Linked DNA regions of Mytilus edulis. The main gene of each other region encodes a partner of the protein of the gene in region 4 in a complex. Links are inferred from orthologs where the notes say so. Each region holds a gene or a part of one and is shown on either strand. Other genes may lie near its edges. The genes, in order: ruvB-like 1, vacuolar protein sorting-associated protein 72 homolog, mortality factor 4-like protein 1 and histone acetyltransferase KAT5-like.

What was found.
Region 1: histone acetyltransferase KAT5-like (region 4) and ruvB-like 1 share a complex: the UniProt entries of both Homo sapiens proteins name them as parts of the SWR1-like complex. The link is inferred for Mytilus edulis from reciprocal best matches to the Homo sapiens genes KAT5 and RUVBL1.
Region 2: histone acetyltransferase KAT5-like (region 4) and vacuolar protein sorting-associated protein 72 homolog share a complex: the UniProt entries of both Homo sapiens proteins name them as parts of the nuA4 histone acetyltransferase complex. The link is inferred for Mytilus edulis from reciprocal best matches to the Homo sapiens genes KAT5 and VPS72.
Region 3: histone acetyltransferase KAT5-like (region 4) and mortality factor 4-like protein 1 share a complex: the UniProt entries of both Homo sapiens proteins name them as parts of the nuA4 histone acetyltransferase complex. The link is inferred for Mytilus edulis from reciprocal best matches to the Homo sapiens genes KAT5 and MORF4L1.

What each region holds. Positions count from the first base shown.
Region 1 is NC_092344.1:87,608,047-87,615,860, forward strand, and holds the start of ruvB-like 1, read right to left. Parts: upstream 3,010-7,814; 5' UTR 2,720-3,009; coding exon 2,579-2,719; intron 1-2,578. Other genes in the region: coiled-coil domain-containing protein 146-like, read left to right, coding at 6,545-6,703, 6,969-7,051, 7,622-7,814. UniProt on the Homo sapiens protein: Possesses single-stranded DNA-stimulated ATPase and ATP-dependent DNA helicase (3' to 5') activity; hexamerization is thought to be critical for ATP hydrolysis and adjacent subunits in the ring-like structure contribute to the ATPase activity.
Region 2 is NC_092344.1:122,279,718-122,286,610, reverse strand, and holds the start of vacuolar protein sorting-associated protein 72 homolog, read right to left. Parts: upstream 3,013-6,893; 5' UTR 2,919-3,012; exon of another isoform or gene 2,853-2,918; intron 1-2,852. UniProt on the Homo sapiens protein: Deposition-and-exchange histone chaperone specific for H2AZ1, specifically chaperones H2AZ1 and deposits it into nucleosomes.
Region 3 is NC_092347.1:28,692,862-28,700,682, forward strand, and holds the start of mortality factor 4-like protein 1, read left to right. Parts: upstream 1-4,816; 5' UTR 4,817-4,903; coding exon 4,904-4,931; intron 4,932-6,817; coding exon 6,818-6,864; intron 6,865-7,821. UniProt on the Homo sapiens protein: Component of the NuA4 histone acetyltransferase (HAT) complex which is involved in transcriptional activation of select genes principally by acetylation of nucleosomal histones H4 and H2A.
Region 4 is NC_092346.1:17,925,664-17,933,121, reverse strand, and holds the start of histone acetyltransferase KAT5-like, read left to right. Parts: upstream 1-4,455; 5' UTR 4,456-4,456; coding exon 4,457-4,495; intron 4,496-4,597; coding exon 4,598-4,655; intron 4,656-6,961; coding exon 6,962-7,030; intron 7,031-7,458. Other genes in the region: DNA-directed RNA polymerase III subunit RPC6-like, read right to left, coding at 4,134-4,192. UniProt on the Homo sapiens protein: Catalytic subunit of the NuA4 histone acetyltransferase complex, a multiprotein complex involved in transcriptional activation of select genes principally by acetylation of nucleosomal histones H2A and H4.

The DNA.
Region 1 (7,814 bases), on a different chromosome or scaffold from region 4:
CAAGTCAGGAATATGACAGTTCTTGTCCATTCGTTTTTGATGCGTTTTGTTATTTGATTTTGCCATGTGATTATGGACTTTCCCAATTGATCTTCCTCTAAGTTCAGTATTTTTGTGATTTTACTTTTGACCCTCTAACAAATACGGATTATAACGAAAATATTCTATTATTCACAAAACTACAATGATTTAACATTTCTAATCAATCAAAATATTTAAAAAAAATAGATCGAATTTACGACAAATACTTTTGTAATTCATGCGTGAAATTATGCGCAGTCGAATAGTCCCGAGCCACCTTAAGTTAACTGGTTGGTAGATTCTTATAGACTCTATATATAAAATTATATATATATATATAATAATTCACTATTTCTGTCTCTGGAAGTATATAGTTTAAACATATTTTATTGTTCAAAACAAATGGATTAGACACAAGTTTTTCAACTTAGTTCCGTCTTCTCCATAATAGAGATATAGATATACAGTAAAAGATTTATTTAAAATAATGTACTTTTTAAAGACATATGAAACGAGTGACTAGTGAAAAATTATGTTTATCCAATTCTTGAACCAATTCATGTGTATATCATCAACTTAGTTTTCTGTGATTGATTTTATCAGGTTTTCACGCAAACATATCGTATAATTGTCGATTTCTTTTTTCTCTCTGTCTGTTATGATGTGAAAATATGGCAGCTAATTGTTTGTCATGTTTTGATTGTCACCTTATAGTAAACAAAGAAGCATGGATATTGAGCACGTGTATAACAAGTACCATCAGATAATAGTTTATTTCCATGACAGATACATGCGTATTGCGTTCACCTGATTTTTAAGAGAAGGGTCGTGCTAAGGTCACTTGCATACGGAAAATATGTCAGCATATTGATTCCTGGAAGCAAGCAATTAAAAAAAAGTAAACTTCTTCTAAGATTTAAAAGAATTTTCTTCAGAGAAAAGTATATGTGTACATAAGTTTTATAAAGAAAACTTTCCATTTAGTTATAAAAAACATAATGTCATATACATCATTTTTTTTAATTTGAGGTTTCATATATGACTGAGATAAACTGATTGTACTAAAAACAATTGTACTTTAGAGTAAAACCTGTATAAAACAGCCAGATTTGGGATAATGCAAGGGCTGGTTTGGACAGTGGTGGTTTATACAGGCTACCATTTTGAAAGGGAGATATTGACTTGTGTCATCAGATATTTTCCATGTAAAAGTATTTGTCATTGTAAATTGTAGACTATTAAAAACAAAAACTTTGAAGGGGGGAAATCGTACTTTAATTCTTAGTTGGAATAGAGGGGAAACCAGTTAATTCAGGGTCAGCTTTACCAATGTTTGACTGTATGTGCTTGATATAATATTTATACCAACATTGTATCTTATTACAATTTCATTTTGAGCAAACGGCCCATATTTAGGTTATACCTGCCTCATATTACTGACTGTCTTAAACCTGTCTCATATTCATACATGTACAATACATATAAAATCTTACAACTGAATTCAGTCTATTGAAAGATGCTTATAAATGCAGCCAAGAGCTTCACAAATCTAACATAACTTCTTGGTTCTCATTTGTTAAAAAAGTGTTAGAAGTTTTTGAAATTAAACAAGAAGTAAAACATTTCGGACAATATAAATTTTTGAACATATCTAGTAAATTAATTCACACTAAATATATTAGCAATTGGTATGCTAGCCAAAATAAAGCTTCTGATGGAAAACTGTTTAATTATGTGAAATTTAAGCAGAATTTTGGTTATGAAAATTATCTCTCTTTAATTAAGAACTTTGATTTTAGAAGATCTATATGCAAATTACGTATTTCTGCTCATAAGCTTCAAATTGAAGTTGGTCGTTTTTCAAATATTCCACGAAATGAAAGAATTTGCAAAAAATGCTCCTCTGGCTGTGTTGAAGATGAAATCCATTTTTTAACTAACTGTGAAAATTTTAAATCGGATAGAGATGCTCTCTTTGACTTTGTTTGCCAAAGAATTCCGAATTTTTCTATACTTGATAATCAGCATAAATTTATTTATTTATTAAACTGTGAAGACAATCAGGTCCTTAATGCTGTTGGTAAATTTATTAAAGTGAATATGAGTTAGTAATTGTATTGTAACTGTATGTAAAAAATTGTTTGTATCTATGTATCTATGCAAATCAATATTCTTTTGCCTTATTCATGTATGCTCTGTATGCCCCTTGTGGGCCCTTAATTGGAAATAAAATATGTTCTGTTCTGTTCTGTTCTGTATAACAACCTAGTTACTAGGTTAGTTCTAGTTACAAATCGACAATACACCTTATCACAGTTTGTCTGCCTTTACTGGACATCACAAAAAATCCTGTAAAAGTTCAAGCGGAACAGATCTCTAAATACATTGTGATAAGGTGTATGTCCAGCACAACCTAAGGCTATAGCATAAAAATAAAGATTTAGATGAATTTCACTGGTTTTTCAAGTGTTATGTTTTTGTTCTCAAAATTCAAATTTGGGTATTCTTATAATTAATCAGCAGAAAACAATGTTTAGAACTTTCTAGAAATTTATACCTCTCGAGCAAGTTCTTGTCCGACTAAACCAGCTGCATTCTGAATTGCATAGCCATTTTCATCCAAACCTAATCCTTTAATGTGACTGTGTGTAGCAATTCGTTGAGTTTTCGTGGTACTCTTCACTTCTTCGATCTTCATCTTTGTTCTTTGTCAGAGTTATAACTACGCAGTGCAACTATAAACAAAACTTTACACGAACCGGCACGCTACAATCGTGAAAAACAAGTTTATTGTCTACAACTTAAATCTCCTTTTCTAAAACGTTAAAATCACACAGATTTTTTTCGTATACTTTACGACACTAAAATTCTATGATTTTGCATATATTAATAAATTACCTCTAAAATATATCTATAACGACTTATTTATAATCAGATGATGCTTAAAGAATAACTGCTTAATCTCGGTTTTAAAAGAAAATATTTTACGACTTAATGTAAACCTATTATGGCGCATGCGTAAAGCCCATAGAAACAAATTTATTTACAAGCAAATTGGACACTAAATTATTTACAGTAATTATTAGCTTTAACAGATAGCCGTGCATTTGCACGCTATTGGGAATAGCAAAGAGGTAGTTTCTTCAATAAATCAAAAGGTAAAAGAACAATTAATTACTAAACGATAAGTGATGTCAACAGACAACAACCAGAATTTGCGTCCTATAGCTGTATAGGTCTTCTCATATCCTTACTCCAATCCTTTATAAATCTTTTCAGCATTTTTTAAAATTAAAGGGGATAGAAAATAGAATTATATGTCATGCATCAAAAATTAACGTTTAAGACAAATTGTTGACAAATTACGACACAATTTGAACTATGGGAAAGTGCAGGTTGCATGTCAGAACTCACACAAGTGAACCTCAATTCAACTATATTCTTATACAAAATGTGTGTCACAGTGTGTCTTAGTGTGTCGTACTTGCATATGAATTTGCGACAACTAAGCACTCGGGTTCTGAGTCTTGTTTCGTCCGATGCAAGACGTAACGGCCATACTACCATGACGGCCATAGGATGAAACGGCCATACCCCGAAAAGATGAAACGGCCATAGTACAAAAACGGCCATACTTTGTAAAGACGTATCGTCCATGGTTTTTTTTTGCCCACAACCACCTCCATTTCTACAAGATTGTGCCAGCCTTCCAACAGGAAGCCAAGACCGTGTCCATCACACAGCAGCTTGTGAGTGAACAGCAACTCAGCCGCTATCAACGAGACACATACAAGCAGCTTCAAGGCCGTCTAACTTCACTGTGGGACCAGTACGAGGAAGACAGTATCCGAACATCCGACTTTCTCCGTTCGGTAGGCCATCTGCATGCACCACCTGTTCCTCAACCAGAGACCCTCCCAGAGTCCGACTCTGAAGATTCCGACTACGAGTCTGATTAAGTGTTAATTGTAGTGACTTCATGATCGTAATATAGTGCATTTTGGTATGTTTTAGTGCTTTTGTGAATATAAATGTTTAAATATTGGGAGACATGTGTATGCAGTGGAATAAATGCATGAGTGACAAGAGCATATGAGAGAAAACGTAAGAGATTGTTTATTTAAAAAATGTATATTAGATGAATGTCCTACATGTATGAACGAAATGTATATATGAATGGTTTGTGTATGTTGTATGTATGAAGAAGGTTTATATGTTTGGTGTTTATTTGTTTATCTGTATGACTGAATGAATAAATAAAATATATTAAAAAAAAATATCATCTTTTTGTTTCTTATACTAGAGTATATTGGTATGATTGCCCATAATACAATTATCCATCAACAAATGCACAAAAATGAGAACATTTAAATTGTCAACAAATTGTTTTCAACACAATTCAACACAATGAACAAAGCAAAAAGAACATTCAGTATGATAAAAATGAAACTGGCCATCTTTTATCATGTAATTAGCCAATCGGGTGCACATTCCTGTCAGATTTTACGGGTAATTTCTTATGTTATTGGAAAATTCTGCAGTAGTCTCTGTCTTGGAAAGATGTTCAGCAAATAGAATGACTCTAAACTATAAGAAAGAAAAAAAAATCAGAATTATTAAACAATGTGTCTGATGATCATGACAAATATAACTCGAACTTGATGAATTGCCTTCCTTAGAGTTAACCTTTACACTGAGTCCTGTTTTTAATTTCACCAAGACTGAGATTGAGAAGATTTGTATAGTTTAGAATAATATATATTTTTTACAGATATAATAAAAAGATCTGTAACATGTGCTTGTATGTATATATCGTCATTGACAGCGACAGTCAACATTCCTACAGTTTAAAATTCATATAAAATATGATGCCTTTATATCACATTACAATAAAAATGATTCTTCAGAAAATGTTTACAACTGACAATGAAGAAATAATCAATATACTTACATAATATGGCCGCAACAAGTTGTAAACACGAGCGATGATGATCAAGCAAAGATAACTCTTACAAGAATAAATAAAATCTTCTGTACAGAAAAAAAGTACTACACAATCATATTTATGTTATTATTATGAACAAATACTTATTTTTTGTATTATATTTTATGTAATAAACTCAATAAAAAAAAATTTAAAAGTGTGGACGATACGTCTCACAATGTGTGGCCGATATGTCCCATGGACGATATGACGGTATGGCCGACACATCCTAGGGCCGTCATGGAAGTATGGCCGTCGCGTCTCGAAAGCGTTTCGTCTGGGCGCCATTCCTACGACTTTCAAATAACTAAAGCTGCTTACATATTCTTGTTTTAAGGTTAGCATATAGGATCATAAATATATTAAAAAGGGTTAAAATAATATTTCAATATTATTTACAATTTATCATTGTCAATAACTTTCCTTAATTTACTTTAAGCAAATTATACTGATTCAGTACAAATCAACACTGCGACACGGTGTCAACACACATAAGTGTGTCATGTTTCCAACAACCCATATACTGGTAAAGCAGATTTCTATATATACTTTATATAAATGAAGATACAGAATTCACTTTTGGAAATTATATAATACAAGGTGTTTTAAAACAAATTGAAGACTATATTGGAATTATTAGCTCTGAATAGGTTTTACGAAGTATTTAGGCCTTATAGGACAACACACTTTATAAAGCAGTAAAGATAGTAGTAACTCGACACACATACTTTTACCATATAAGAGAATATTGCTTTAGTAAGGGAATAAATTGCATATTATTATATTATTTGTTTATTGTCATAGTATTGTTCATAAGAGATATATACTGTTACCAGAGCCATTCAATTGCTACCATAGATGTAAATAAGATACATGTACCAGGATCATTCCGCTAAGGTTTAGTAATAGGAGTACGTTATTACCCATCCTCCCCTTATAAAACGCTCTAGGTCCGTCGATAGGTACACTAAGATTTTTGGATATAAAATTGTCGTTGAGGAGATTGTCGCTGATTACATCTCACAGGCAGCAGGTAGGACCCACTTCAATATGTTTGTCTAACTCAAATTACTGTAATCTTGATCATGATTGAATCTGCTTTTTGAAGAGAGAAAAAATCTTGCACAGTACATTGTATTAATCTTACTTTCTAACTATATATTAAAACCATAACTTTTTGAGCTCTCCTTGACAAAAGGGTCGTGTGAGCTGTACTAGAATTTAAATTTTTCATATCATGATTATAGGGTCAATTCATCTGTAAACCATAGTTAACTTGTATATCTTCTTCTCTGGAAACACTTGTGACAGATTTGCATGTACAATGTACATATTTAGAAGTCAACCATACCACTTACATGTAAATGGCAGCATGCATTAAATTATCTAGAATTGCATCTTATGTCAGACAGACTTAAGATAACCTCAGGTTTAAGGTCAATTACAAATATATTCAATATTGCATTTAAGGGAGATTCAACACCATATAAATGCAATAGAAATTTTGATTTTGATAGATTCATTGTCTTTTACACAGATATGAGTAGTCCAGAGCCCACAGAGGATTCCCAAGATGAGACAGAAGAGGAACCACAGAAATACACACAGCCATTGACTGCACTTCCTCCTAGAGTGGTACAACAAGAGGAAAGTCAGGTGGAGGTTTCAGCTAGTCCTGCATTCCAATGTCTTGACGAGGTTAGAATCTTTAAATTAGAGTTTTACAATTTCATTACAATTACAAGAGAACAAAATCGTCCATGTATTTTTACTTGTTACAGGATACCAAAAAAACCTATAAAAAACCTTAAAGACTAAAATGACTAATCATGTTTGTGTTATACAAGGTGTATAAATTGGTGGTCCTTAGGTAAGTGTAGATTTGGTTAGTGTACTGCATTTACAGTATAATTTCCTTATCATTATAAAGCAGTACATTGTATTTTATATTCTTTATTTCTAGTTGTTTCAAGATGGTAAATTAACTGGAACAAGACTGGCACATCTGAAAGCAAAGTACACAGATTTACATGAAACTCTGAAAAAGTGAGTACTTTTATTTTTATTTTTCGAAGATATGTCAATGTTTTGAATAAGTTACTTCAAAAATAGAAAAATTGGCTTTTGTAAAGTCTGTGGAATTTTTTTTATAATTATATAATTATTATCTACTTCAATTGTCTCCTAACTTGAGTTAAGGGCTGTTCCAGAATCAAACACATAGGGGTAGGTTATTTTAGACCCTGACCACTCAAAATTAAAAATTCTAAGAAAAATGTAACCACCCATATTTGATAATTTTAAGTGTCTCAAATCTACTCCACCAACTACATGAACATTTTAGAACAGCCCAAAGAAAGATGGAATGTATAGCAAGACCATTTTCCAGAAAAGGATAATTATTTTTTCTGACAGTTTTGTCTTGACAAGTTTTGAAGAAAAAAAATATTGATATTAACTTAATAATAAAAAAAACCCATTTCAAACAAACCCTAAAGGACTTATATTTTATTTCTGACATATTTAATGTGAATTGTTTTTATGGAAACTACAATATTTTTTTATAAAATTTGATTAAGTATTATAATTGTTTATAATATGATCTTACTTCAACAGAACAAGAGATAATGAATCAAATTTACTGAAGCAGGCCAAAGAAGTACAAGTAGAACTTGAAAGGCAGAGGATAGAGCTGGAGAAGGCAGATAATTTACCAGATAAAACCTCTAATTCGGAAGTGGTCAATATCAGACGAGAAATCTTAAAAAGTGTAAATGCTAAAGATGAAATATTAGACAGAGAATATCAG
Region 2 (6,893 bases), on a different chromosome or scaffold from region 4:
TGAAATTCACTATGTACTTGGTACCTGTTATTAATTAAATGAATAGAAAATATTATAACAAATATTATTGGATGCCGAATTGACGTCAAATAGGTGCCGATTTGACTAGATGCCAATTTATTCAGGTGCCGACTTGACTTGTACGTTTCAATTCCTCTGTGATCGTTTGCGGTATTTTCTTGAGAAAACATATTTTCCATCATCAAAGAGAAAAAGAAACTGCTTGAAAATGATTCTGGAACGCTTCATGATTGTTTCAATAAGTTTAATTCACTCAAAAAACAATTTTAAAACTTGCGATGTTTAAACAGGAAGTTTCAAAAGCACGTGTAAAAGAAGAAATTAACCGGTGAGAGTGGAAATCCTTACATAACAGATATCACTATAGTACGACTTTGAAAGCAAAACAGTTCCATCCTTTTGTAAAACAGTCTTTAATATACCTATCACATTAATGTTTGAAGGGGCTTAAGCTTATTCAAACCATATAAGTCGGTATGAAACACCAAAACGGTATGATCAATAACCGATTACGTTTTGTAGTTTACAAATTCTAAACTGGTTCCTGTCAAACTACAACACTTTGTTCGAGTGTAGTGAAATACAAGCAGAAACCAGTTAGTTTGTAAACTGGTTCCTGGCTGATTACTACACAATGATCATGCATAATGATAACACAAGCAGATTCCAGTTTGTATGAAAAATAGTAAATACGAAACCAAGCGCGGTAGGCAGAGAAATGTAATGAAGTTCAGGTCGCCAGTAATGGAACAATGACTGCGTCATTTTCCAAAAACTATTCTTTTTTGACAATGTTTGAATTCTTATTCCTTCTAAGAAGAATTATACATTTGGTTCACAGTAAAAGTTAATACTAGTTGAAAATATTCCACTTACATGACTTAATCGATTGGTGTTTAATGCCACTTTCAGCACTAATGTGCTATTTCCTGGCTGTCAGTTTTTATTGGTAGAGGAAGCCAAATAGTACATTAAAAATATATTAATGTAGTTAGTATAGTTGAAAATATTCCCTTCAACTGATTGATAGGTGTTTAACACTACTTTCAGTACTATTCAGTATTGTGCTATTTAATGGCCATAATTTTTTTTTGGTAGAGGAAGGCAGTTTGCATGGAGAGAACCTTAGAATGACCTTTGAAAGGAAAACTGACAATCCTAGTCAATTAAGATTGAAGTCAAATGCATCTGCCATATGCAGGATTTGAGCTCACATCATTGTGTTAACAGTCTAGTGATCCAGTAGTTTCATAACTTACATGTAGACCACTAGGCCTCAGAGACTTTTACAGTTAGGCGTCAAACGGTCATTCTCTGCATCAGATATATACATTTATAGCATCAAATTAGTTAAAATATTACTATGATTCATCAAAACATACTTCTTATGATTCCTCAGAGGTGTCAAATGATTATCTTTACTGTTATATTTTTTGAAAAAAATTTAACATGATTCGTCATATTCAGTCAACTTATTTTCATCATCTACATGTAAAGGAAAATGTACATTTTATCGTCATGAACCAAAAATTAATGTTAACGTCATTTGGCAAGAATTTTTACTATTATTCCACATGAAGGTACCCCTATTGCATTACAACCATTAGCTTCCTTTTTATAAAGGAACCAATCAAAATGCGTTGTAAAAATAGATGCATTGACACTTGAGTTGACATATGCAATTTGTCTGCCATTACGTAAAATCACACAGGTTCCGGTAAACTTTGACATCTAAATTCAAAACATTGTTTTACACTAGTAATGTTGGGGCTCTTTATAGCTTGTTGTTGGGTATGAGCCAAGGCTCCGTGTTGAAGGCCGTACATTGACCTATAACGGTTTACTTTTATAAATTGTTATTTGGATGGAGAGTTGTCTCATTGGCACTCACACCACATCTTCCTACATTGTATATCTATATTCTACGCCACAATAAAGATGATTGTTGCTTGAGGTCAAAGGTGATTCTGAGTAGATCTAAGGTCATTGGGAGGCAAAGTACAGCTAAATACCAAAAGTGTACATACTTTTATAGATATAAAATCATAACAAGTTGTACAATTGTATCATTACGACATTAGCTAAATGTAAAGAACCAAAATAAGTCAAATAGTATCACTACAGAGTCTTTTTTTTTTATCTCCATTTGCCAATTGTATATTTTTAAACAATTAAAAAAAGCACACCTAAAGAGCGGCACAATTTTGCCATGCATATACATCTGTACATATGCTAAACAAGAATGTGTCCCCAGTACACGGATGCCCCATCTGCATTATCATTTTCTATGTTCAGTGGACCGTGAAAATGGGGGAAAACCTCTAATTTGGCATTAAAATTAGAAAGATCATATCATAGGGAACATTTGTACTAAGTTTCAAGTTGATTGGACTTCAACTTCATAAAAAAACTACCTCGACCAAAAACTTTAACGTGAAGTGGGACGAACGGACGGACGGACGAATGGACGGACGAACGAACGAAGGCACTGACCAAAAAACATAATAAAAGAATAGCATCCTTACGTATGAGCCCCACAAACGATATTACAAGTATCTTACAGGTATATATCATTACAATTACACCTTATATAGATGCTAAATTTTGATTGGTTGATAGCCAGTGTTTTTTTGCTTATTCTATAAATATTTTCCTCATTCCAAACGAATTTGCCTGTTTTACGAAAAATCGACCGTACGGGTGTGATTAGTTAACCCCACATTGGCAGAAACAAGTGCCTGTGTAAAATCTGAAAATTTTGCTGTATTTTCAAAAACGCGAATTTGTGTGTAGATTGTGCAGGCTATTGAAGAACCCTGCACAGAACTTACATGTTTTGAAGAGGTCTGTTACAAAATATGTTTACCAACTCTGATAGGATTTGCATAAATATATACCGAATGTAATGTTAGAATCAGTTCTTTTTTGTTTTATCGAATTCTTTTTCAACAGGAAACGAGGCTTTCGCTGAAATATTAAAGCCAATCACGGCACAAACCCGAAATTACGTAGATTTTCACATTTACAAAAATGAAGTTCTCGGAGACTCATCCCACCTTTTAAAAATGTATATGCCCTAATATTTCTTATATAAAATAAATGCATATGTAATGAATTATTGCGCATTTGCGACAAGTGCGTAGTTAATTTTAATTCTATTAATTGTCATTAAACATTTAAAATGTTTGACGGTGGCGATAAGCTTATTCAGGTACACCGATTTGACTTAACAATTTATAACAATGTAAAACATAATGACATTACATACTACTTGACCCCCTGTTAACCCAGACTTTTATTTGCAGATTACAGTATAATGTGCAGATATAGAATCTAAAGGTCTGTGTTAAACTCTAAGATTTCAGGAGTCTTGAGTTGACTAAAACTAAACGGTAAACCGTGTTATTTCGGGAATTTTTAGATATTGTGAAAAAGGTCATATGGCAATACATTGATGTTTTTTTCAACAAATGATTTGATACCGGGAAATTGGTGGTCTTACTTTAATTTAAACCATGTCAGCTATCTAGTTTTATGCACAGGCGCTTGGATATATGATACTGTAGCGATTTTAGTTTGACAGTATAATTATTATTATGTAAGATGTCTTTATTTTAAATACATAAGGGTTAAATTACATTTCTCAGTATAGCGCAATGCCCAGTATTTTATTTATCTGAACGGTATTTATAATTCATTTAAATTCACCACCCGGTATCTTAAGAACCGCCCGGTACCCCATCTTTGGAACCGTCGGGGTACCGTCCGGTAACCCCATCTTTAAAACTGTCAGGGTACCGCCCGGTAGCCAATCTTAAGAACTGTTGAGGTACCGCCCGGTATCTACAGAACCGCCCGGTACCCTATCTTTGGAACCGTCGGGATACCGCCTGTAAATATGTATATAAGGGGATGCGAGAGAGATCAGAGTGTAATAGAAAGAGAATAGAGAGATTTGAGATTGTTAGTTAGAAGTGTTGAGAGTAATATTGTGTTAGTGAATTAGGATGATTGTTCAACTGTTTTATTATGTCAAACTGATATACATTTAACAGATTACATAGTGATTTCAATTAAAACTTTGTGTTGTGGTTTGTTTTCTTTGTGCCATTTGAATATGGATTTCACGTAATTTACGCTACCAAAATAACACATCGACAAACACGAATCCATACAAAAACGACAACGCTACAATACAGATATTTTTTTTTAATTTTGTTGTTGATTAAGATGTTCAATTTTCTATATTTATAATACATATCTATCACTTCTGTGCATATCTCACCTACAGAAAAATACCTAATTTTGCAATCCATACTAAGAAAAATTGGATATGGTTTTATATACAAGAAGGCAGTTTCGTATTTTTTGATATCAAGTTCAATTCTCCATGCAGAAACGACCACTTTTTTCTGTGTCCAGTAGCATCGTATATTCTTAAAATATTTTCTCGCATAATGCCTGGACATCGGTGGACATGCAATATTTCACAGTGTGACACGTTTACAAATGAAAATCAACACTCAGACTAGTCATTAAGTAGGACAATAAATGAACAAAAGACAAACCCGGGACACAGAAGTACAAACAATAGACCATCAACTCTGAAAACCAAAAGTAAAATAGAAACATGGATTACGAAAAATATGCAGGGGCGACGGCAGAGAGTGAAGAGAATTTGCTTCTTGCAAGACACTTTCAGTGAAAACAATTTGATATGAAGACAATCTTTTGTTTTAGTTTTTTTTTTTTTTTTTTTAAATTTAAAACATGAGGCATTTGCCTCATTTGCCTCAATGTAGTTACGGCCCTGATATTATAACCTTTTACGAGAGTCTGTGGTTTCTCTCTATGCCAACAGCGTTCTTGTCACGAACATTCATCTAACATGTGCATTTTTATATTTAATAAGGATTTGGAGTATCATTCGAGGAATAGAAAGGCCATGTACATGCACTGCTTGAATATTCTCAATAGACGAGTACTGCTACCAAGTCTTTAGAGTATAATTATTATCAATCGGATTCCTTAGTATATCTGATAGCACCATTGATTGTAACATTTGAATTTCAGTGCCCTATAGTGGTACAGCACTTAGTCAAAAAATGAAAAACAAAGTGGAAGTTTGGAAGTTTATTATGATTCTTGCGGGTAACTTTTTAAAACGTTAAATAGTAAACATACCGTTTAAAGTTCAAACACATCAAACGAATTTAAAACAACATATTCCTGATTTGGTACCGGCATGGTTTAATTCTTGTTTTTATAGCTAGCTAAACCTCTCACTAGCTGAAACCATTGTGTCTTATGACGAGCCATTGAAATGACACAATGTACCTCTGATGTCAGTGACCCTAATGGTTTAACAGGAGACGAGTAAATAACGATCATAATTCAATAAAGTAAGCAAAAAGTAAAATAACAAAAATATTGAACTCAGAGGAAATTCACAATGGAAAGCCCCTAATCAAATAGTTAAATCAAAAGCTCAAACACAAAACAAAAATGGATAACAACTGTCATATTCCTTATGTCTGATTGTTTTCATAACGCATCGTTGTCAATATAATGGAATTTGATGCTACTGTCGTACAAGTTACAGGTTAAGCTAGCTATAAAACCCGGTCCAATCCACCTTTTTCTACATAATAAAGTACATATACCAAGTCAGAAATATGACAGTTGTTATCCATTCATTTGATGTGGTTGAGCTTTTGATTTTGCCATTTAATTAGGGACTTTCCGTTTTGAAGTTTCCTCGCATCTTTTCTTTTATAGCTTGCTAAACCTCTCACTTGTATGACAGTCGCATCAAATTCCATTATATTGGCAACGATGAGTGAATACAAAAACACACACAACAGATAAAATTTTCAAAAATAAGGGTACAGCAGTCAACATTTTGTTATAATCTTAATCACTATGAAATGAGACAAATGTGTCAACAAAGAAACTCAAAGGCATACAGACAAACATTCACCATAGCACAACAACACAATAACGGGATGTATAAGTACCGAGCAACACCTAATGGACATTATAAATAAAGACTAAAATTAGTAAAAAAAATATTTAGAAAGACAAAGAAAACAATACTATTAAATGTTATTAAGGATGTACTTAGGAGAAGTTATGAAATTTGTGTCAAATTCTTGTACTCCTTTGTATTTTTCATTCGATAGAAGGTAAAATATTTTACCCGATAACACCCATTTACTTTCCATATAAGACTTTAATAGCTCATAAAAATTTATTTACCGAAATTTTTAGATTTCATTTCTTTTGATTTGAGACCCAAATATTACCAATGAAAAGATAAGGTAAAAGTCTGAGTCAGCCTTTTCCTGCACTTTTAAAAAATAAATAAAATATCTTGAAAAGGAGCCCCATTACCAACAAATATTTTAGCTTTTTTTAAAATTCTAATGCTCTTCTAACTTATAGTATCAATTCTAAATTCTTAATTTTTTTAATTACGTTTTAAAACACGAAGTATTTTTTGTAGAAAAAGACGAGACGTTCTTTAACATACCCCTGATTCATCACATTTCTGCTCAGACACTCGTATCGTTTACAAAGTCTGAGTAGTAGCTTCATGCTCCTGAACACAGAATAAGTTGAGAAATGTATATCCCGTATGAAAGCGAAGTTGGTAAATTGCTACTAAGGTGGGAGAAATTCATAATTTGAAATTAAAATCATCTCGTTTGTCATAGATTCTGGTACTGAGATGACCGCTTATGTCAAGTTTGAGATATAAGTCTAAAAATGAGGCAGAGGCAGCCAAGAGTCATAGACGAAAACATCCCTTAATTTGATCGTTACATCCAAGGATTTAACGTTACCACAATGATAAAACACTGGTTAGGTAA
Region 3 (7,821 bases), on a different chromosome or scaffold from region 4:
GCATGGTTTCTACTCTGCATTTCTTTTATATTAACCTGTATGCTCAAGTGTTGAGTGTTCTAGAGAGATGTCCAGGTTGACACATATTCGCTTAGACTCATCATGATGGACTACTGTTAGATTTGTTACAGTCAGTCCTGTCTACGTAATTCTTTATATATAATAAAATTGAGAATGGAAATGGGGAATGTGCCAAAGAGACAACAACCAGACCATTGAAAAAAAACAACAGCAGAAGGTCACCAACAGGTCTTCAATGTAGCTAGTCCAAATAATTATGACGTCTTGAAAGGCTATTATAATTTTTTTCTTTGACGCCTTAGTCGAAGTAATTTTAAAGGCGTCAAAGAAAAAAAATTATAATAGCTTTTCAAGACGTCATAATTATTTGGACTACAATGTAGCGAGAAATTCCCGCACCTAGAGGCGTCCTTCAGCTGGCCCCTAAACAAATATATACTAGTTCAGTGATAATGAACGCCATACTAATTTCCAAATTGTACACAAGAAACTAAAATTAAAATAATACAAGACTATAAACAAAGGCCAGAGGCTCTTGACTTGGGACAGGCGCAAAAATGCGGATGGGTTAAACATGTTTGTGAGATCTCAACCCCCCCCTTTATACCTCTAGCCAATGTAGAAAAGTAAACGCATAACAAATACGCACATTAAAATTCAGTTCAAGAGAAGTCCGAGTCTGATGTCAGAAGATGTAACCAAAGAAAATAAACAAAATGACAATAATACATAAATAACAACAGACTACTAGCAGTTAACTGACATGCCAGCTCCAGACTTCAATTAAACTGAGGCTGAAAGATTATGATTTCATCATATGAACATCAGGCACAATCCTTCCCGTTAGGGGTTTAGTATCATACCATCATAACATATATGAGAAGAACATAACCCGTGTCATGCCAACAACTGGTTTTTTAATAAATGTGTTTAGTTCCGATGCAAAGACCCTATATAAGTGAATCAATATTAACGCCAACATATGCAATCTTTAATGACCTGACAACAGTATCGTAACTATATCCCTTCTTAATAAGTCTATTCAAAGGTTTTGTTAGTTTTTGAGGTGAATACTGACACCTTTGTGCTTTATAAAGAATATTTCCATAAAAAATTGGATGTGAAATACCTGAACGTATAAGAAGTCTGCATGTTGAGCTATATTTACGAATGATGTCCATATACCAATGATAAAATTACTATAGTAAATGTTTTGACTAGTTTGTGATATCGAAAACCCGGGTGTAATAATTTTTCAGTAATACATACATTTCTCTCGTTAAAATCTAAAACATTGTTACATACACGAGCGAATCGTACAAGTTGAGATATATAAACACCGTAAGATGGTGACAAGGGAACGTCACCATCTAAAAATGGATAATTAACGATAGGAAATGAAAAATCATCTCTTTTATCATAAATTTTAGTATTCAGCTTTCCGTTAGTGATATAAATATCAAGATAGAGGAAAGGGCAGTGGTCATTGTTAATATTAGCTTTATTTAAAGTAAGTTCAACAGGATAAATTTCTTTAATATACATACTGAAGTCGTCATTATTGAGAGCCTAAATATCTAAAAGTATTATTAAATCTGTTTATAAGATGTTGTTTCGATGGGTCTTTGCTTATTTTTGTCATGAATTGTAACTCATAGCAATACAAAAACAGGTCCGCAATAAGTGGTGCACAGTTAGTCCCCATTGGAATACCGATAATCTGACGGTATACGGAATCCCAAAAGCGAACAAAAATGTTATCTAGTAAAAATTCAAGGGCATATATAGTATCAAAGCATGTCCAATTGACATAGTTTTTTTTGTTTATTGCTACTAAAAAAATACCTAAAAGAGTTTGAACATATATATTCACATTCTGACTTTTTAAATGCCCATTTAATTAGGTGTGTGAATTTTTCTTAATGAGAATGTGAGGCAATGTGTATACAGGGTAGAAAAATCAAAACTTTGAACAGATTCAAAATCACCAATATAAGCATGCAATTTATCAAGTACTTCCAACGAGTTCTTGACACTCCAAAAGTAATTAATTCCACTATTTTCGAAGGCCTTATTTGAACAATTTATTATCAGGGTTTTAATTGTACCAAGTGTGCTGGTAAGAAGAATAGACAATTTAGTAGTGGAACAATGGGTCAACATTGCTGCAAGTTTTGTTAATCTAAAATCGATTTTACATATATCCATATAGGTAAATCAATTTTTCCCAAATTAAGTTAAGAAGGGGGGTAAGGGGGTTAGCGAAAAAACTATGTGAATTAAGTTTTTTATCCTACATTGAACTTTTGATGTCGTCCCTTACAGATGTCGTTTTCTGAAAATGCTATATAGAAAACTTTTTAAATATATGAGTTGCTACTTTTATAGTGATCATGATTTATATAGCAGCATGTTTGGTCCGCTTTTTTCTATATAAACTTGCCATATTTTCTTCGAGCCAACCTAGCCAGGACAGTATATTGTCAGTTATCCTCTTCCCAGGAGATTACAACACAAAACCCCCAATATGTAGAGTTTTCATCTTGATAAACACGTATGAATATACTACATTTAATGTTCGTAATTGTAGTTGTAGATTTTAACAACCTTTATTTAAGGGCATATTACTGAGCTACGAGATAAAGAAAAAATAAAAAATGATTTTTTTTTTGTTCAGTGATTACAGTTAAAATAAAAAGCATGCGAACCAAGAGTTTGTAAATGCCTTGCTTGCCAACTTTGTTTGGTTGTTTGCTCAGGCATTGTAATTAAGATTGACACCTGAATTCAAAGGAGAGGCGGAGAAACAGTTTGTTTACTATATAAAAAAATAGTTGGTTGGACAATGGATATTACATTGGAAACAATTTTGATATTAATTGACCAATAAAACCTTTGTGTATAGTAAACAGACTGTTATATATACTCCACCTGGCTACCCATTGAATTTAGGTGTTAATCTTAATTACAACTAGAACACACCCGTGATATCGCGGGTCCGTGACTGAATTAAAGTATATAACTATGCGCAAGCCTTATCTTTGTATTAGTACTGGCATCTGATAAAGTCATGCCGATTATAAGATACACAATTTTCTCTGCTTTCAAATCTTTCTGTTTGAACCCGTCGAACTGGAACTTATTAATTATGGGTAATATTAATTATTTGGAAAACAAAAGGTCCTGGTATGGAGTATTTTTTAATCTTCAGCATTGTCCTATATTAGTTATAAATAAAGTTGAACTCTTTGATTCGCTGTTTTACGTCATGCCCGCTAACAAATTGAAACTTATTTTTAGTCCAGATTTTTAGTATTCGTATTGTTATCTTAGAAAGTCTTACGGATTAAAATACTACAATAGGTAACAATTTGACAATTTAGTAGTGTCAACCCTGTGATTATGACCCGTGTATAAAGCATATTAATCCTGAATACACCGTTTGGTGGTGCGCCTGTCAGATGCGTAACGTACAGATAAGGTAATAGGTAACATTTGATTATACTATTGGTATCGGTATCGGAATCGACCCGGAACTTCCTAATTATTGGCAATATTAATTACTTGGAAAACAAAAGGGCCTGGAGTGGCGTAATTTTTAAACTACACATTTGTACTTTATTAGTTGTATATAAAGTTGAATTCTTTGATTCGTCGTTTTTACGTGATGACGGCTGACAAATTGGACCTCGTAATTTTAGTATTATAGATGTCTGAGCAAAAAAAAAAAAAGTTGGCAAGCAAGGCATTTATATTCTTGGTTTGCATGCTCTATTATTTTAACTGTAATGAAAGTGAAATAGCGAGTGATAATTCGCTTTTAGAATTGCAGCCAATTTGGTTCAATTTGGTCAGGCAAAGAAAAGTAGGACTGGATCATATCGCTGATTGATTATTCACGTACAATTTAAGTGATTAATTCGACATCATTGAATCCGTAATTACCGGGTATGTGATCTTTAATCAAACATCTCTGCTAAAGATTGGCAACACTTGTATTCTGAGCTATTGCAAAGGAATAGAATATTGTTAACCATTTTGTTAACATTGAGTGTTAAATAAGGATGAACCATTATACTGACTAATTCAAACCACAAAAAAAACCTCCTCTTATTCAAGTAAAGCGGTGAATGGCATACTTTTTAATCTCCGTATGAAATATAACAGACCGCTAGAAAATCCAATTGCACATGGTCGCTATCTATTTATATTCCTATCAGGTTTTATAACGGCCGTCGGCAGTCTTCGGAGATCATCTCTGTGGTTAATTAGACGACATCTAAAATATGTTGAAACATATCATTGTATCCATGTTTAACCAATGAGAACACTGGGAAAATTTGCAGAATATTTTAAAAGGAGAAAAATACAAAATTGAATAAAAAAAAAGGGAAGATCAAATGAAGAATAGAGAATAATTTGGCGCTAAAATATAAAGAAAATAGACTATGGTCAAAATAAAGCAAGAATAGAGAAAATGTACATAATGACTTAAAGAATACAGATATCAAAGGTCTCAAGACTCTCTTGTATACTTTCTCGTGAAATTGTGTTCAAAGATCTTCAAAGTTGCCGGATATATTTTTTTTAATTTTTAATTGCATTTTGACCAAAACAATTTTTGGTCAAAATGCAATTAAAAATTAAAAAAAATAAATGTTTTAAACTGTAGACCATTCTGTTCAACTTTTTAAATCCGTTTCAATTTTAAATCTATTTTGAGCTATTTTTGAGAAATAACTTAGAATACTGTATCAATTTTTATTTCCGTCTTTTTTTACTTCCGTGTTTTAGACAGTCTCAAATTATTTCACACACAAATTGATGACGTAAACACATGTGCAAACATTTTCCCTAAACTATCTAAGCTTGGATAAACGAAATGCCGCCTAAATATAAGTTCCAAGAAGGTAGTTGATGCAATAATTAAGTAATTATATGAATCTGACATTTATAAATAGACATGCATCCTGTCTTTTCGCTGCGATAGATTTTTGTTTTGTTACAATTCCAAAAATTATACAAACACAACAAATTTATCTCGCTTACACCAAAAAGTCACAGGCACTTGTTTCTATCTATGTGCGGTTTACTTTCCACACCCGTACGAAAAATAACATTGCCAGAAACAAGTGCCTGTGCAAACAATCCAGAAAAATTACCCCCCTTTTCCCCCTTTTACATGTCCTCTAGAATATTTATCTGTTTAGCTATAAATGACTTATTCCAGGAAGATTTTACAAGTGAAAGATGTGGAAGGAACATATATTTTAAAATCCATTTCGACATTTGTAAATTGTGCATTTCACTATTTTAGTATTTGTCTGCTATTACTGGACTTTTCAAAGGTTCCCTTATAATTTTGGCATTATAATAGAAAGTATCTGACACCACAAAGAAAAAATGATTGTTGTATGACATCAATAGTTCAACAGGCACAGGTCTTGGGTTAATCATGTTAATTGGTGCAACAATTAAAGGTGTATTGTACTGTTTTCATTATTCCATTTGGAAATCAGAGATGCACCTTTGCTTGAAACCATATAGGACTTGCACTTGGCTGGGTCTGTCAATAGAACAGGAACAGAGTTATTTGTAATCGAAACCATAAGATTTTATTCTACCGGTTTTGACCCATCCACATTCTTTGTGTGTCTGACCGAAGTCAGGAGCCTTTAGTTCAGCTGTTGTCTTTGTTTTATGTCTGTCATACTTGTTTTTATGCCTCATCTACAAAAGTAGAGGGGCATCATGTTTTTTGGTCTGTGCTTTCGTTCATTGTCCGTCTGTCCCGCTTAAGTTAAAGTTTCTGGTCAAGGTAGTTTTTGATGAAGTTAAGGTTCATCATAACAAGTGGACAAATGTGGCTGTATTTTCACCTCAAAAACTACTCTGTGTACAGACTTACCTGTGCTGTTTGGAAAGTTTTAAGGCCTAGCATCCACTAGATATATAAAAGTTAAATTCATTTTATGTTTAAGAAAGATAACATCTTTCTTGGTTTTTGATGGGCATTTTTTTTCCTTTCTGCAGAAGGTGTAAAAATAAACAAACATCTGAATTACTTTGATACTGTCCACTCACTGACTCAGATAAACTCTTTAACTCACCTGTAGTTGTGAAGATACCTCTTGTCCATGTCAATTAAGGACAATCAAAACAATACAAACCGGTTTTTTACCTGAGGGAGCATCTCAAAGTTGTACCACTTTGAACTTAGTTAATTTTCACACCTTATGCATGAAGGAAAAAAATGCCCATCAAAATCCAAAAGAGATTTTATCTTTCTGCAACATAAAATGCATTTATCTAGTGGATGCTAGGCATTAAAACTTTTCCAACTTCACAGGTAAGTCTGTACTAAGAGTAGTTTTTGGCATGTAAATACAGCCATGTTCGTCTGTTTGTCATGATGAACCTTAAAGTCCAAAAGTCCATTCAACTTGAAACTTAGTACACAAAAAAAAAAAAACAACTTAGTACACAAGCTCACTAAAATATGATCTTTCTTATTTTAATGCCAAATTAGAGTTTTGATCCCAATTTCAGGGTCCACTGAACATAGAAAAAGAGAGTGTGAGTTGGGCATCTTTGTACATGTAGTTCTATCATGACTATGGACACTGTCTTGTTTTCCATTTTTTCAAATTGTTTCTTAAAGAGTCAGAATCTTTTGTAGTTATTTTTATACATAGTAGCCACTTAATGGATCATTAATTTAATATTGAACATGCATGTTGATGATTTGGTGAAATATTAGTAAACATGAAAGTAACAAATATAATATTTTTTACAGGAGAGAAAGTTCTTTGCTTCCATGGACCTTTATTATATGAAGCAAAGGTATGTATCTGTATTTCTCTAATTTTTGTGCTATATTCACATTTCATGTTCGTTGTGAGAAAAGTATTTCTTCTCTGCAAATGATTGGTCGAAATTTAATTGTGAAGTCAAATTTTCTTGGTTTCTTCTGAATTTTCTATTGTGACAACACGAAAAAAGGCAACCATGCTTAATGATGTCACATATAAAGAACACAGTTTTCTGCAAATATTTGAAAAAGGAACAAGTTTAAGCCTCCTGTTAATATTAGAATTTATCAGTTTTTTTTTTTTTTTAAGGTTTACATATTTTATTGAAATCTTTACATTTGTTAGTTTATCAGTTTTTATCAGTTTTGAGGGGAGAAATATCGTAACATACTTGTTACAACAGTGGAATCTATATTTCTCTTCTTATGCTATTTAGTTATGATGCACAAACTAATGTGTATACATTTGCTGTAAGATTTCTGTGATTGGCAGCACATTCAGAGTAATGTGTTCTTATTATTTTAGTATTGGTTCTACACTCTCCCCATGTCACAGAATATAAGTTCTGTCATAACATTTATTCCAAAGATAATTTATTATGTAACAAAAGTTCCAATTGGAATTATTGTTATGTGATATTTATTCAATCAACATAATAAAATGACCGATGCCTCGGAATTTTTATCACATAAAATATATTCCAATAGGAAGTTTTATTACATAATAAATTATCTTTGGAATAAGTATTATGGTGGAATTTTTATCTTATGACTGGTATAACATTTTGACTTTTATCATTTTGACATATCACTCATTAAAATGAAAAAAATGATAAAATCTTATGTTATATTTATTCCGATTGGAAAAAATATTATGTAATATATATTCCGATTAGAAAAAATATTATGTAATATATATTCCGTACGGAAAAAATATTATATAATATCTTTTCCGACCAAAAAATATTACTATATTTTATCCATAACTA
Region 4 (7,458 bases):
ACAATTGTATTGAAAAGAGAAAATCGAGTGCACCTTTTCTTATGTTAGGGTGTGTTTGAGATGAATATTTTGTCTTGAAAATGTACAAAACAAGAGTATTTGATACATCATCTCGATTCAGACTCTATCATTTTATATAGCAAAGCTACAGGTTGACTTTATAACATAAAAAAAATCACAGTACTAAAAGATGAAATATAGGGGTCAAGTGAAATACCTATCCAATGGATCACAAAATCAGAGTAGGTGTGTTCGAATAGCTATTTTACTAAAAGTGCTTGACAACAGTCTTTAAGTTGGATCTCTGAAAAAAAAATTGTCTTCCGTTTCTACGATTGTGAAAATGAACAGATAATTTCGACGAAGTAGAAGCCTGTCTGTATTGTATATTTACAGGTAAGGAAACATGTGAGAATATGTGTCATGTGATGTTTTAAAATTTAGTGTCCTTAACCTCCAACATAACGTCCAATAAAATTTAAGTATGATGTATACAAGCTGAAGCCCCGCCTATCTTAATTACCATGCTTGAGCAAACATTGATACAAACAAAGCAAGCAAGCCAAACAAAGATTTGTCTTGCTAGCATTAATGTAAAAGCTGTAATGAAGAACCAACTACTCATCATGAAGTTCCTGCTTCACATACTTTATGAATTGTGTCGTAGTTCAGAAATAAGATGTGTGTCTATGGCTGAGGGTTGTAACTTGTAATGGGGTACCTTCATGATCAATAACGGTAAAAATTCTTGACAAATGACCTCAAGGATGTATTCTTCTGACTTTTCAGTCTCGTTCAGTCTCGTTGAAATCTCGTTCTTGAATTATTTCCAAAACATGAGATACAAGTGGAAAATATCAATGAATTTTAAAAATATTAATATCAAACATAACTCTGTGAAAAAAGTGTGTATTTACAATGAATGGTTTTTGAGTAATCCAGTTTTCAAATTTTACAACCAATCAAGTCAGTATTTTGTAGCCAAAATTTTGAGAAAATGGGTTAGGGATACAAAAAATGCTATTACAAGAATCATGTACATCCCATATCATTTTGGTGTTTTCAAATTTCTGAAATATGTATTTTTTAATCATTTATAACAAAAAAGTTGAAATAATATGCATTTTGTTCTTAAAACTGAGAAACATCACAAAAATACAAAAAAGACAGAAATTTAACACAAAAAAGCGTCAAAATATGATAAAACTTTCTTATATTAACACCTACCTATAGTTTTTCAAGTAAAATTTATTCAGATTGGTCCACTTCATCTTTAAAGAAAGTATGAAAAAAAGTTTAATTTTGGAACTGTGATTTTTTTCACGATAATAGCCCAAAAATAGATAAAAAACAATGAAAAATGGGAAAATCATCAAAATAAGGCATTTTCAAAGGGCCGTAGCAAAAAAAGAAGTGCACCATCATATGATTTTTTCTTCACCAATTATTTTGTTAGTCATATAAACCCAAAGATCAGGTTAAGAAAAAAAGTTTAATTCTAGACATTTTTTACTCCTTAGACAATGTCAGAGGTGTACATCCTTAACTGTAATTTTTGGTGAAAATTTTGTATGATGATAAAATGTACACTTAACTTTAAGATGATAAAGACTAATTTTGACGAAATTGTAACGGTTTATTTCTTCCTCCGTGATATTTTATCCTGAGGATAATTTGACCCGGTCAATTTTTTCCAGACATGGAATTTCACAGGTTTGATTTTTCCTTAGGAGTGAAAATATATCTGTGTTATGCGGATAGTATGAACCGGTAAATATTTTCCGTTCTATATTTCACAGAACCTTGTGAAATAGAATCCCGCTGACTACTATGTAAGTTACTCGCAATCAATATATACCTGACAATAATTACAAATATATCACAAAGGTAAACAAAATTTGCATATTTCATCAATCAAAGGGAGGTAATTTTGACCAATTTAAATGGTTTTTATAAATTATATTGTGGAAACCCTTTTTTAACAATGCAGACTTTTTGTAAATGACATATATTTTAGGTAGGCAAATCCAGTGTCGGATCATGGGAGGATTCTGGGGGTTGAAACCCAGGGTATTTTTGGACGATTAATGCATAGTTTAATATATTAGATAATTCCCGCGGCACGCAGTAAAGCGTGAATTTATTGTCTTCTCGGTAAGGTATTTCCGAGGCGTAGGAATTTTTGGCGCCAAAAATTGTAGTGGTAAATAGATAGTTATATGAGTATCATTTCTAGCCTTGCGTTCGTACTGTGTACATCAAATTTTTTCATATAAGCATAAAGAATGCTCAATTTGACAATTGTTAATTGTTAATGGTCTGTTATATATAGTTTATATATATATGGTATGGCTATATAGACGTAATCGGATTTGGATTGTATGTTGTCTTATAAATTTTTTATAGCCGTAGTCTTCGGACTAAAACTCCCTTTTATTAAGTTAGATTGAGCATTTTTTGGTACATGAACATTTATGTTATATGAGTGCGGTCCAACACTTAGTTTCGCTTGGCATTGACAAAAGGACGCAGGTTTCCAAAAGGTTTTTCCTGATCGGCCACGAAACAGTACTTTGTGTGTTTTGAATATTGATAATTTGGAAGATGATGGCAAATAGTATTTTGTATATATGTTATGTTGTTATAATATTGCTGTATTGTAATAAAGCGGCAGCTCAGAAAAGATATACGCAGCGAGCTAGTCAACAAAATATACGCAGCGAGCTAGTCAACAAACTTAAGTTTGTAGTTGAGTTATTTTTCTTAGATGCTAAGGTACATGAGTATAGAGAAGACCATCGTATTCTGATCCTTCCATTGCTACTCACTGTTTACAGTAGTAATGACCTTTAATTTTATATTAGTCCTGAAATCTGAAAACAACTCACTTTTACCTGAATTTCACTTATCTTATTTTATGTATATTAAATTAATCATGATGATATTTCACAATAAAGATCTTTAAAATTACTTCTGGTTTTCTTTCATATGTTTCATGATAATTATCTTTTTCATAAGAAATATTTTTACGTCTTGAATATTTCAGGATATTATTTTCAATGATAATCTGTGAAATATTTTCGCTTTAAAATTCACATTTTTTTATCCAATTTAGCATTATATTCAAATATACTTTTGTTATATCACAGTATTTGTCAATAATTAAGTTTTTTAATAACTATTCATTTTTTTAACTACCCGGATATAATTTCACGGCAAAGGAAAAAATTTCCCAGGGAAATATTTTCCTCCGGATAAAAAAACAACAACAACTACTGTGACATTTTTTCCTCGGGATCAAATTTCACCCGGATATAATTTTGCTTTACAAAATCACGTTAATTTTTTTACAAAAATGAAGGTAACAATAATTATTTGAAACCTCTGACGAATCACACTGAATCACAATAAGGGTATTTTGACAAACGGCGGTAAAAATCTAAACACAATTTGATGCTAACTGTATCCAAAAATTACTGTTTGAAGTGTGACGGGATTGCTTCCCTTAGAAAACTTAGTAGATACTTAGTCAGCCGTAAGCAGTTGAGCTAGGGAAGTACTTCTTGAGCTCAGTCGGTTAACACGCTGGCTAGTAACACAGAGGTCCAGGGTTTGAGTCCTGGTGGAGACAAGCAATTTTGTAATGAAATTCATGCTCTCCTGTTACATTGGCGCCCAACAATAAAAACCCACGGTTAGAAGAAATACCTAGTCAGGTAAAAAATAAATATAAAAAAGATGAAGATATCATCATTATAGAGTATAATGACTCTTGAGGTGTGGGAAGTGTGACGGGATTGCTTCCCTTAGAAAACTTAGTAGATACTTAGTCAGCCGTAAGTGGTTGAGCTAGGGAACTACTTCTTTAGCTCAGTCGGTTAACACGATGGCTAGTAACACGTCCTGGGTTTGAATCCAGGTGGAGACGAGCAATTTTGTAATAAAATTTATGCTCTAGGGTTACAGAAGCCTGACGTTAAAGGGCATTACTACCCTCATGGCTATACTATGATCTATGTAAGGATTTGTAAAGTAAGATCTGACTATACAAATCCTTGGTCTATGCAACTTTCAACTTTAATGCAAGCTTATAAAAACTGATTTCATTTTAAAGATTTTAGGCAAAATTTAACCTGTTTTCAAAATCCAAAGTTTCAGCCGGTTCTTCCTTCACACCCACAGCTGAAGCCATAACTTGGTCTTTTATTTATGTACGAAAATCAAAAATAATAAGTCGAAAGGCATGTGGACAAAGTGAAAGTACAAACAGGAAGTTGTGTGTAATTCTAGACTCGCACGCAATAATTCTAACTTAAACTTGTTTTAACTTTTAATAAAATGAAAATTTGTCAATAAAAACAATCGAATGAAGGTATAAATATTTATTTCATTATTACAATTATTACTTTTATTTTTTTTAAAGGAAGCCATGCGTAAAAATTGTTTTGTGCATTCAATGCAGAGCTACAATATGACCGTGATGACGGAAGTGCAGGTCCCTTATATTTTTTCAATTTTGAAGCCTTTAACCCTTATTTTGACCTATTTTGTCATGTCAAGTTATATCTTTGAAATTATTTTTATTTATATTTTTCAGACTGAAATAGTAGAAGGGTGTAGAGTGCCAGTTTTATTGAAGAATGGCGATGGATGGCGTAAGTTATGCTAAGGGAGACAATCAAATCATGTAAACACACAATGGGGTCATAATATGGAACATTCAAATGTGTGCAAATATTTAATGCATTACAGTTATTAAAATATTTATGCTTTGTCTGTTTAAAAAATATAGTTTTGAAACCAGATCCTTCCGTAATGACATGGAAATGATTCTGATTTATGTGACCATTTTTTTCTCAGATTATCCATCATTCTAGTAAAGCTGTATACACCTCATTGCTAATCCAGGCTGACCCGAGAATCTGTCCAGCTTTAACTATTGACGTTATATAACAATCACTTTTCCATTGTGGTATCAGATATTTTGTATTAAGACATCAAAAGAATATGAGGCAGGCATTACCTGTGAAACGGACGAAATCTGTATGCATATTTTTTTTTGTCGTAACGTTTCAGATTTTGGTTCTGATGTTTTTTATGTTATGACGTCATATTCAATGTTAAAAAAGAAACAAAGAAACGCTATCATCAAATTCACCTGACAACTAGACCGGTAAAGAAAGTAGATTTCTGAGCAAATGCAGGAATTTAAAAAAGTCTGAAAATAATTTTGAGCTCATTAGTAGAATGAAAATTTTGGTAAATTTCCTGATTTTTTAAAATTTTGATTTAATTTATTTTATCACATATTACTGGAACCTGTGTGATGTCCAGGATTGAGGAATGGCAGACAAATAGCGATAAGGTGTATAGCAGGGTCTGTATGGGTCCTTGAATCCTGGAAAAGTCATGGATTTTTATTTTTTGGGGGAAAAGGCCTTTAAAAGTCATGGAAAGCTATATTTTAGTGAACAGTCGTGGAAAGTTATTATTGTTTGAACTGTAAACTTTATTAGGTGTCTATAAATATTTTTCATAGTTTTTGTCAAAACTGTTTCCTCAATAGAGCTACAAACAATGTCCCAGTTTGATAGCCAGTCTTGGTAAATGTAAAATGAGGATTTCAAAATTCGCTTCTTCATAATTTTTGGTAAAACTACATGTATATGACTGAAACTGGTTCCCTGTATGTCAAAAATTGTTGCAGTTTGCTTCATTCAATAACATTATCAGTATAAGATACCAGTTGTCGAATATTTTTAAAAATGTCTAGTCAATGATCAGTTGATTCAAGAGAAAAATGCCTGGTTACTGCCATTTTCAGTTTAAATGGTTGGAAAACCCAGAGAGGCAAAGTACAAACAATGGCTGGTGTAAAAAAACAACGGAGAATCTGCATTGAAAAGCCACTGTAAGAGCTCAAAACACATCCAACACTCAACTTAACTGAAAAGTTTCAACATTTTACTACATTATTCAATTGATTCAAATATTTCAAAACTTGAATAAACACTTATACTGATGTGTAGTTCATCCTCTTTCAAAGAATTTATATATTACCCTTTGGTTTCCTGTTTTTTTGGGTATGGAATTTTCATAAAACATCCTTGAAAAGTCATGGAAAAGTCATGGAAAAATGGAACAGAAGAGGCGTATGAACCCTGGTATAGATGATATGATGACTTGCCCTAATTATAGCTGATTTTATGATGACAAGTTATTTTTGTGAAAATCAATAAAATATCGTTCAAACTAAGTCACTTCAAATTTGTTATAATCACATTGATTTCATCACAGAAGGGTACAGAATGCAAATGAGGTATTAATACAAATATAATATAATACAAAAATGGTGCTGATACAATCCCAGTATTTGCTTATTTCACTAACCATTATTAAACACTTCAAATTAAATAAATCACTCTTATATTGGTAATTTTTTAGGACAACTTATATAATTGCTTCACGATAATGACGTCACATATTTCATTGAAAAAGTATGCATAGTACGAATTTATATTATGTCCTACGAAAACATGATCTGACTTTAATGCCCCATGACAATTTTATTTACATCTGCATGTATATTTGTGCACCATTTCTAAAAACCATAAAAAATTCTGCAAAAATTTGACTTCCTAAAAAAAACAATTGAAATTGTTGCAAGACATCAGAAAATTATTTAAAGATAGATATAGGGTCATTCGTGGAAAATTCAGCTGAACACTAAAAAGGGTCATTAGGTCTATATGTAACCATTTTGAGCTCTGTTTGTTATGTTCACCTTATAGGAAATTGAAAAATGAGTTTTCTAATATCTATCCTTAAATAATTTTTTCCTTCATGTAGAATCCTATTGTTTATTTTGGCTTTATTTGTCCATAAGGGAGAAATCTAACAGTAGTATAAAAACATTTTGGTGTTGCATTGAACTTTATAAAGATTTTTACATATTTTATAGACTTTGCTGAGATACTTGGAAAGAAAGAAGTCAATGGAAAGCACATGTTCTATATTCATTATGAAGATTGTAAGTATATTTGCAGTACACGGAAGGTTATTCAATTAAAAGTCAGTCTTGATGGTGATCATGAGTGATTCACTTTGGCATATGTTTGTACATGTGCTACATATGACATGGTCGTAAATTTGAGTACATAACTGAACACCAGCAACAACAGAACAATGAGGTTTTACTACTGTAAAAGTAGAAATTTTCGTTAAGGATTTAATTCGTTTATTTCTTGAAATAATATATCAGCGAAATTAAAAACCCCGCAAAATTTAAACTTCATATAATATAACACTTCCATTTAATGGAAACCATGAAATTTTGACCCCACGAAAATGAATGTTTCTACAGTAATTACCTTTTGGGAATTGTCTTTTCTTATCGTATCTAACTGTCTCAGTTGCATTGTCATAGTGTCCCTTGACTGAAGGAGGTTGTTATTATTT